Cricetulus griseus: one gene and its partner. The protein of the gene in region 2 purifies or fractionates together with the protein of the main gene of each other region. This does not show direct contact. Links are inferred from orthologs where the notes say so. Each region holds a gene or a part of one and is shown on either strand. Other genes may lie near its edges.

The links.
Region 1: the proteins of Os9 (region 2) and Serpina1 purify together in Homo sapiens (affinity purification with western blotting; 4 studies listed by BioGRID). This does not show direct contact. The link is inferred for Cricetulus griseus from reciprocal best matches to the Homo sapiens genes OS9 and SERPINA1.

What each region holds. Positions count from the first base shown.
Region 1 is NC_048598.1:190,875,295-190,879,721, reverse strand, and holds the start of Serpina1 (alpha-1-antitrypsin), read right to left. Parts: upstream 2,996-4,427; coding exon 2,365-2,995; intron 1,039-2,364; coding exon 768-1,038; intron 1-767.
Region 2 is NW_023276806.1:130,592,637-130,597,188, reverse strand, and holds the start of Os9 (protein OS-9), read right to left. Parts: upstream 3,025-4,552; 5' UTR 2,992-3,024; coding exon 2,760-2,991; intron 2,429-2,759; coding exon 2,211-2,428; intron 1,476-2,210; coding exon 1,412-1,475; intron 1,273-1,411; coding exon 1,196-1,272; intron 957-1,195; coding exon 858-956; intron 1-857. UniProt on the Homo sapiens protein: Lectin component of the HRD1 complex, which functions in endoplasmic reticulum (ER) quality control and ER-associated degradation (ERAD).

The DNA of each region.
Region 1 (4,427 bases), on a different chromosome or scaffold from region 2:
ACTCCCAGGGCTGATGGCTCAGCTCTAGGTTTTCACAGGGCCAGAGGAGGTCCCAACAGGATCTTAGTGGCCCTTGGGATCTGTCACCTATTCTGGTCCCAGCCTTGTATGGCTCTCTGCATTTTTATGGCCAAAGCAGAGGCCAGGCTGGGCAGCAGGGAAGCCACCTCTAGCCACACCTAACCTCGTGCCTGCCAGAAGCTCACAGGGTTCCTTATCCTACAGGCAGCAGAGCCTGGGCTCAGAGCAGGTCCTCTGACCTGGGGAGAAGACCCTAGGACTGCTGGGACCTGGAGCCCCACTGAGGAGTGACAGACGAACAGAGCCTTCTGCAAACCTGCCCAGGGTTCTCTATTGCTGGCCCCTTGCTGTTTAGGGCTGTCCATGCAGACTATCCTGGGCTCTCCTATAAACTTCTCACCTCAATCTCTACCATCAGCTGTGGCCAGGGTTTGAGACCAGTCTTGGTTCTTAGTTCAGTCATGATGTATGCTAGCGCTGCTGACATTGCAGCCCTGGGCTGTGGGTTAGAAAATACTATGTCCTCTGGGGATGGGAGTCCCTCCAAAGCAGGGCCTGGGCTCTCTCACCAGGAGCTCTGTCCCTCCCCAGACTCTACCTGGCACTGTCTGAGATGAAGGTTTATTTTAGCTCAAGGTTATGCACTTAAACTGTGGCCCTGGGATAGAGTCCACCCTCTGGCAGCACTTTGTGACTTTTGGGTCAGGATTGGACACTCAGGGAAAGGTCTCTGTCTGGGGAGTCACCTTGTGTGTCTGTTCTCCAGGAACTTGGAAATGATTTCCTTGTTGAGAGTTTGCTCCAGATGCTGCATCTTGCCTTCATCAGGCAGGATGAAGATGGCAGTGGCGTTGCCCAAGTAATCCATCAGCAGCACCCAGCTGGACAGAGTGCTGCAATGGTGCACATCAAACATGCCCAGGCGCTTCATCATGGGCACCTTCACCGTGGTGCTCTGGTCCACGTGGAAGTCAGCTTCCTCAGTGTTCTCTGCCCTGAAGGGCTTCTTCCACTTGCCTGCAGTGTATGGGAAGTAGGAAGTAGGAAGAGGGCTCAGCCAGGGAAGTGGTGACCCAGGGCCTTGACTTTTCACAGGGGACCACTACTAGACTTCAAAATGCCCAGGGACTTTGATGAGGGTAACTTGGGACTAAAGGACTCACACTTTACAGATCACAGAAGCTCACAGCTACCATCCCCATTGTCTAGAAAGCATTTCACCTGTTAGATGTGTTACATGCTTACTGAAAGGTGACCTGGGGTTATAAGTGGAAATCTTGACAGCAATTCTATTTGCTAGCTTCTTATCAGGGTGGCATGCTCATTGGTAAGTGTGAGTTCAGTTGTCACTCAGGACACCTCAAGTCCCTTTCTACATCTATGGGTTCAGTGTAGATGGCCATTTCAAGTGTAAGAACACCATCAAGGTCATTGGAGTGGGTAGGGGTCTCGGGGACCCATCACCAATGCTGGCAGAGTAGGCAAGGCCCTCAGGGATCCACCATAATGGCCCTCAGAAGGAGCATGGAATCAGGAGCCCTAACCCTGCCTTATTATTGGATAGGAAGAGGTTGGGGAGGAGTTAACATCTGCCCTTGTCACAGAAGAGCCAGGACTTGAGCTATGCTGACCATGGCCTGATATTCTGCTCCATAAGACTCTGCTTAGAGGCAAAGGAGCCACGAAGGGCAGAGAAGCTCCTGACTTTGACTCCCAGACCCTCCTCAGATGTTTTCTCTGGGGTACAGGTGCTTAGCATAGAATCCTGACCTAACCACTTCCAGGCAGGAGGCTGTGGCTAGGGTCAAGGAGAGTTGATCAAGTGCTTACATCCAAACCGTCCCTGTGTATACTGTATTTACTAATTCTTTCATCACCTCACAGCAGTTGGCTAGCTTTGTCCCTGGCCATATGGACAGCCGTACCCCAAACATGTAAAATGGCTTGTCCAACATCAAGACAGCAGTAGCAAAATTTAAGCCCATGTTTCCAGAGTTCATACTGGTGTGCAGCAAAAGAGCTGCTCAAAATACGTTTCATGGAGCAGGGCTCTCTTCATACCACCAGATACACTTGGTTCTGAGGTTGGGGAAGAATCTCGTGTTCTGAGACTCCTTCGTCGGGGTCTTCAGTGAGCACGAGGACAGTCAGTCCTTCAAAGAGGTCAGTGGATTTGATGGTTGACAATTCCCAAACTTACTGATGATTTAAAATATGACAGAGTGTACCCACTGGAGAGTCAGGGATGTGATGGGACAGAGTGACACAGCCCAGAGTGAGAGCTCAGAAACCATGGATGAGTGTCTCCATGAGAATCAGCTGGAGCTGGTTATGTCATCTTACCTTTAAAGAAAATGTAATTCACCATGGCAAGAACTGTGTCTTTGTCAAGGTCCTTCACTAAGTCAACTATCTTTCCCTGGGTTCCCTTCTCCACAAAAGCATTGATCACTTTCTTGGCCTCTTCCGAGTCTGTGAAATTGAGGGAGAAGGCTTCTGAGTGGTAATTGTTCTTGGCCTCTTCCAGGAACGTCGCCACCAGCTTCAGATTGTCGTGGATGAACAGGCCATTGCCTGTGGTCAGCTGAAGCTCATTGTCTGGCTTGTTGAGGGTCTGGAGGACGTGATGGAAGCCCTTGTGGATCTCACCCTCTGCTATTTGTGTGAGGTTGAACTCCAGGCCTTCTAGAATCTGGGTGTGAGTGGCACCCTTGGTGCCCAGAGAAAGCATAGCGAAGGCTGTAGCAATGCTCACGGGGGAGAAGAAGATGTTGGTCGTATTGGACTCATGGACCAGCTCCCGGTACAGGCTTAAGGCGAAGTCTGCCAGATTTGAAGCGATCTTACAGCAGGCTTGGTGCTCCTGATCCTGCTGGGAGGCATCTGTCTCCTGGGCATCCTCAGCCAGGAAGCTGGGGACCAGGCAGCACAGGCCTACCAGCAGCAAGATCCCCCTTGAGATGGAGGACATCATTCTTCTGCAAGACACAGAAATGCATGTTGCAAGGAATCGAGGCTGTGGTGACTCCCATCAGCTAACATTTGGCACAATACAAAAGCAACCACAGCCTATTAACGGCTGCTGCATGCCCAGCCTATATCAAGCACTATTTCAAATTGCTATAATTGACAAGAGACTGTTAAAAAGAAAACTAGAGGCATTTCTGTAGATAAAGCACTTGTTATGTAAGGGTGAGAATAGGAGTTTGGAAAATGTGGGCAGAGTAGCCATCTGTAATCCAAGCATGGGGGTGGGGGACAGGGCTGGGCAGAGATGGGATCCTTGAGGCTAGCTGGCCGGCTTGTTAACCAGAAGCTCTGAGCTCTTGGATCACTGAGAGCTCAATAAAGTGGAGAGTGGTTGAGGAAACCACCCAACATCAATGTGAGCCCCCCGTATGCACATGCGCACAGCACACTTCCGCACACAGGCTCACACCTCACAGGCATGTGTGAAAACCAAGTGAGGGAGCGAGAGCAGAGGATCAGACTTTTTTCCATCTGCCAGTGCTGTCCTGAGTCCTCCCATGTGTGAACTCCCAGGGTCCTGTAGGGAGATGATCACTCCCCTGGTAAGGGACATGTTGACACACATTCAAAGTCAACAAACAGCAAATAACACAGCAGGTCTAAGTCACACACAAGGAGTGGTCTGGTGCCTGACCAGTACTCTCATCAGTTCAAGTTCCACCAGCAATGACCTCGAACCACAAGCCCCAGCCCCATTTTACAAAGAGGAAACCAAGGCCTGGGGTGAGAAATGGACTTGTCAGTAATGACAAGGGGAGCAGGGGGTGATCTGGACTAACAGTCGCTTGAAGGTGGGGAAATCATGAGCTCCAGAATCCGGGTGCAGCTGTCACCTCTGTTCCCCAGAGAGACCATGTTGAAGGTGTGGTGATTGTCACAGGAGAAGAGATGAATGGGCACACGGGGAAGTCTAAGGCTGTGAAGAAACCCAAGCGGGCTGGAGAGATGGCTCAGCAGGAAAGAGCCCTTGGTGCTCTAGCAGAGGACCTGGGTTCGAGTCCTAGGACCTATATGGCAGATTACAACGTCCCTGTAGCCAGTTTCAGGGTGTCTGGTGCCTTCTTCCGGCCTCCTCAGTCACTGGACACGCATACAGTGTACTTACATACATGCAGGCAGAACACTTCTACATGTAAGATAAAAATCAGTCTATAGAGGAGAAGGAACACACAGACTGTCCCTACTCAGTGCCCACAAGGAACCTCAGTCCCTGGTGGCTTTCCCTGAAAGAGGGACTGTCACCATTCTACCCTGTGATTCCAGCCCCAGGCTGTGTTGGCTCCCCCTCTGGCAGCCCATCTGCCATCTTGACACCACTCCTGTCTCAGTTCTGGAAGAGCAGAAGTTACTGCCTCTGCTTTAATTCTGGGAGAGGA
Region 2 (4,552 bases):
AGTGGTTAGCAGGCTATCGACCAAGATGAAGGTGAGAATTAAAGAGTCCCAACCACAAGGCAAAACAGGGTTTTCTTTTGTTAGTTTTTTAGTACAGTATTCTCCATGAATTTCATGATAGTCTTGAGATCACAATGCTCCTACCTCAGCCTCCAACTTCCAACCAAAGAGAGGTTTTTGTTTTTTGTTCTGGGATTACAGGCTTGCATGAACCACCATGCCCAGCCCTGAAGAGTTTTAATAGATCCTTAGGATGACTGGGCTTTGGGAGAACCGGCCCTCTTTCCTTCTCACACTCCCTCGTTAGCAACAGTTCATAACCGCCCTAACGCTGCTACAGTTTAACTCAATGCCTCCTGTTGTGGTGATCCCCAACCATAAAATTTTTTCGTTGCTACTTCATAACTATGATTGTGCCACTGTTATGTAATGTAAGTATCTGATATGCAACCCCTCTAGAAGGGCTGTTTGTCCCACAAAGGGGTCTCGGGACCCACAGGTTGAGAACCCAGCCTTACTGGCTTCCTTCAGACTCATTTCTTGTGTTAACATCTGTTTTCCTCCATACAAGGCCTTCTACCCATGCAGGAGCTTCCTATTTGCTGCTGCTTCACCAGACAAGTTAAGACCAATGCCTCAGTGCTCCATCCAGAGCATGGGGGAGTCAGAGACACTAACATTAATAATAGCTCAGGTGAGTGTGAGAAGTAATGCTGGAAAGATTAGACATAGCTGGAAGCGCTCCGGGAAGCACATGGGAAACACAGAATTAAATCCAGACAATGGCATTTAGTGGCGAACTAGATCTGCCCTCCACCCAGAGAAAGTAGACTGTTACTCGGGACCGCTCTCCTTACCCGGACTTCCGCTTCTCGGGGCCTCCCGTTGAGATCACACTTGGACCCATTGCCGTAAGTCTGGCTATGGTAGCGTTTCAGCCGATGCTGCTTGGAGGCCTGGAGAAAAAAACATCAGGAGGGACAGAGAGGGTGTGACAAAAAGAAGCAAGGTAGAAGAATGACCCCAGCCTCTGGCAGGGACCCCGACATCACAGGAGTCCCGATCCCAGGGGACTTTGTCTTGATAGGCACCGAACCCCGAGATTCACACCAGCTAACTCTTGACTCTCCCCTGTTGCCTGAGCTCTCAGTCCGCAGCTAGGCCTGTACCCATTCTGACCCCACACTCCTGTTACCTTGGCTGTTTCATCATCCCAGTTGAAGGCTGACTGATAGTAGCCGAGGTAGAGGACGTCACCTTTGATCTCTGAGTCTGTAAGAGAAGCAACAGGAAAGCACATTATTCTCGCTCGTTATGATATCTAGAAGGGAGGGGACTGGAAGGGAAGGGCGGTCCCCTTCCACACATGACAGTGAAAGCTTGGGGAAAAAAAAATCTAAGAACGAATCACCTTCCATATGGTACTGCTGGATATGGCGTCCATAACAGAATTCATAAGTCCACCAGTCCTTGGTCTGACAATTAAAAAACGAACCATCAGGGGGAATGAAAATCCCTCTTTTTGAAAACAGTCTCCTGGTTCCAAAACATATAAACTCCCATTTAGTTCTCATCTCTCTCTCTGTTTTCTCGTTCGTTGTCCAGACTCTGCGAGAAGGGACAGCTGTCTCTTTCATGGTTGGAAACACACATCTAAAATATGCCTACTTTCCATATGTGTCCCTTTTTCTTTCTTTCTTTCTTTCTTTCTTTCTTTCTTTCTTTCTTTCTTTCCTCTTTCTTTCTTTCTTTCCTTCCTCTTTCTTTCTTTCTTTTTCTTTTTTTTTTGTCGGGGGACAGGTGAGACAGGGCCATGCCATGTGCTCCAGCTTGGGATCATAGACTCCCTGCCCACCGTAAAGATAAGACATCGTGCTATCCTTGAAGCTCTCAGACGAAGACTCCCAGAGGTTCAAGCATTAAATGAACTCCCCCCGAATACAATGGAATCCTGAGTTAAGACCAAACAGGGGCAGCTGGCGACTTTCTGGGTAAGCGCCTGCTCCTCCGTCTATCAGTAACCCTTCCCCACATTCAGCAAAGGTGATCTGTGGATGCAAGAGTCTTTGACCTCCACACATCGTCTGTAAATATATCTAGTACACCAGTGGTCCCTGAACTCACACACACACCCCGCGCCCGAGGACCCACTCCTTCCCTAGCACTTCAGTTGTCATGACTACATCCCACCCACCGCCCAGTCCTTTCACCTTCAACAGACAGGGAGCATCTCTCATTGGGCTCAACAATTCAGGAATCCCAGGCCCTTGGTAAGCGGGTGCCTCTTCCTCCCTTTCCCGCTGGAAGTGAATGGCTCCAGCTGGCAGGCGGCACTCATAGCGCTGTTTATACTTCGAAGACACAACCACCACGTCTGAAGCTTGGCTCTGGGAAAGAAGGGTCGGGAAGGGGGGCAGGGAGGTAGAGGCTGGGATCAAGAACAGCGAGATCCCTCTTCAGACCCTGGGGAAGTAAGTGCCCAGTCGAAGACAGAAGCCACAGGTCCTCCAGCTTGCATTGTCCGGGCGGCGGGAGGGCGGGCGGGCGGACGAGCCGAGGAAAAGGGCGCTCTCACTTCCCCACCCGGCGGAGTCTGGGTGCTTTCACCGTGACCCGGGGACCCGAGGTGCACAGCGGGAAGCCCCACCCCTGCCGGTGCCAGGTCCCCCGGGAATGGGTCCGCCTGCGATTGCCAGCTGTGCCGTGTGCGCACCAGCTGCCCTTCTCCACCCCCTTAGTCTCCGGAGCCCGGCTCGCACCTGCCCTTCCTCCTTCACCGTGTGCGAGCCCCTTCTTCTTGCATAGGACCCTCGCCCCCACAGCCCTCACCTGCCCTCCCATGACAGGCAACGGCAGGATCTGGATGCCATAACGCATCTCGCTCAGCTCCTCCAGATTCAGGCTCCCGACGGCCCCCGTCAGCCGCGCGGGTAGCAGGAGCCCGAGCGATAGCAACCCCAACACACTGGACAGCAGCGTTTCCGCCGCCATCTTCCGCTCCGTCTTAGCTAGGGACGCTCCTTCCGCCCCGAACCTGGCAGCGGCTTCACCCTCCCATTAGCGCCCGGAGCTCTCATTGGCTGCTCCGTCCATCTCTCTTACGTAACCTGTCCTCATTTGTAAACGTGGCGTCAAAATCTCCAGGGAGGCGGATCATCGCTGTTAGGGTGGGTGTGTGTGGGGGGGGAGAGAAATCAATCTCTGATCATGATTGGCCAGGAGTAACAACCAATCATCAACGAGATTGAACCCCGCCCCCTCGCTCTTTATTCCTGAGAGGAGTGGTCTATGGCTGTGTTCTTTTTGAGCGTCTCTGCCCTTGCCCAGCATAGCGCTTCTGATCACTTTGTCATGGATTTTTTGCTATGTATGGCGCCCCCATCGGGCAGAATATTGAGGCGGATGGTGGGGTGGGGGGTACCTTTGGAAGTAACGTAATGCCTTTTGCAAAAACAATTACTATACAGAAGCATGCCGTACAGAAGCATGCAAGTATATATACACACATACTACTTTAGGGCAATCAAATAATCTGTGTCAAAACCGGAATTTGTCCTTCAGTGAAATTATCTTAAGGGGCTGAGTGGGGTAGTGCATGCCTGTAATCTCAGCGCTTGTCAAGCGGAGACAGGAGGATCAGTAATCAGGATCAACCTCATACATATGGTGAGTTCGAGGCCAGCCTGGGATACATGAGACCCTAATCTCAAACACACAGACACATGGCAGATGACTTGTTTAGCATGTGTGACGCCTTGCGTTCAATACCCTCACACAGTATAAACCAATCATGCTGGTATACACCTGGTATCCAAGCAGTCATCCTTGGCTACATAGAGTTCCGCCCAAGCCTGGAATGCAAGAGACCCTCGTCTCAAAAGAAGCAATAACGGAGCCAAGAGTGGAGGCAGATGCCCATAATTACAAGCTGACACAAAAAGACGGAGAGTTGGAGGTCAGCCCAGCTTCTACATGCAAAATCTTGAAGAAACAAACCAACAACAGCAAAAAACAAACAAAAACAAATCCCCCTCCCAAAACAGGCATGGGAGAGGAAGGAAAGCAGGGGAGAAAAGAAAGGAGAAAAATAAAATAAAGGGGGCTTCTTGTCAAAGTTGGGGTAGGACTGAGGAGCTTGGGGAGAGCATTTCTTTTGTTCAGACTGTAAGAGAAAAAACCTGTGAGAACAAAGCAAAAGGGAAACGAGGCAGTGGTAGGAACATTTTGGAAGTTGGAAATCAAATAGAATGATAGCTTGCTTAGCAACCCTGAGAATATTAATTCCTAAACAACAGCAAGTGAGAGTAATAACATTCCTTTGGGAAACCTACTATGGGGAAGCTTACTACCCCCGTAGAGAAGGAGATCCCAAGAATATTCTTATCAGTCTTATCGTAATGAAATAGACATGAATCCTATTATAATCACAGTCCCTGGCTGTTCTGGGACTCGCTCTGTAGACCAGGCTGGCCTTGAACTCACAGAGATCCACCTGTCTCTACCTCCCGAGTGCTGGGGCTAAAGGTGTGTGCTACCATCGACTGCCCAGCTA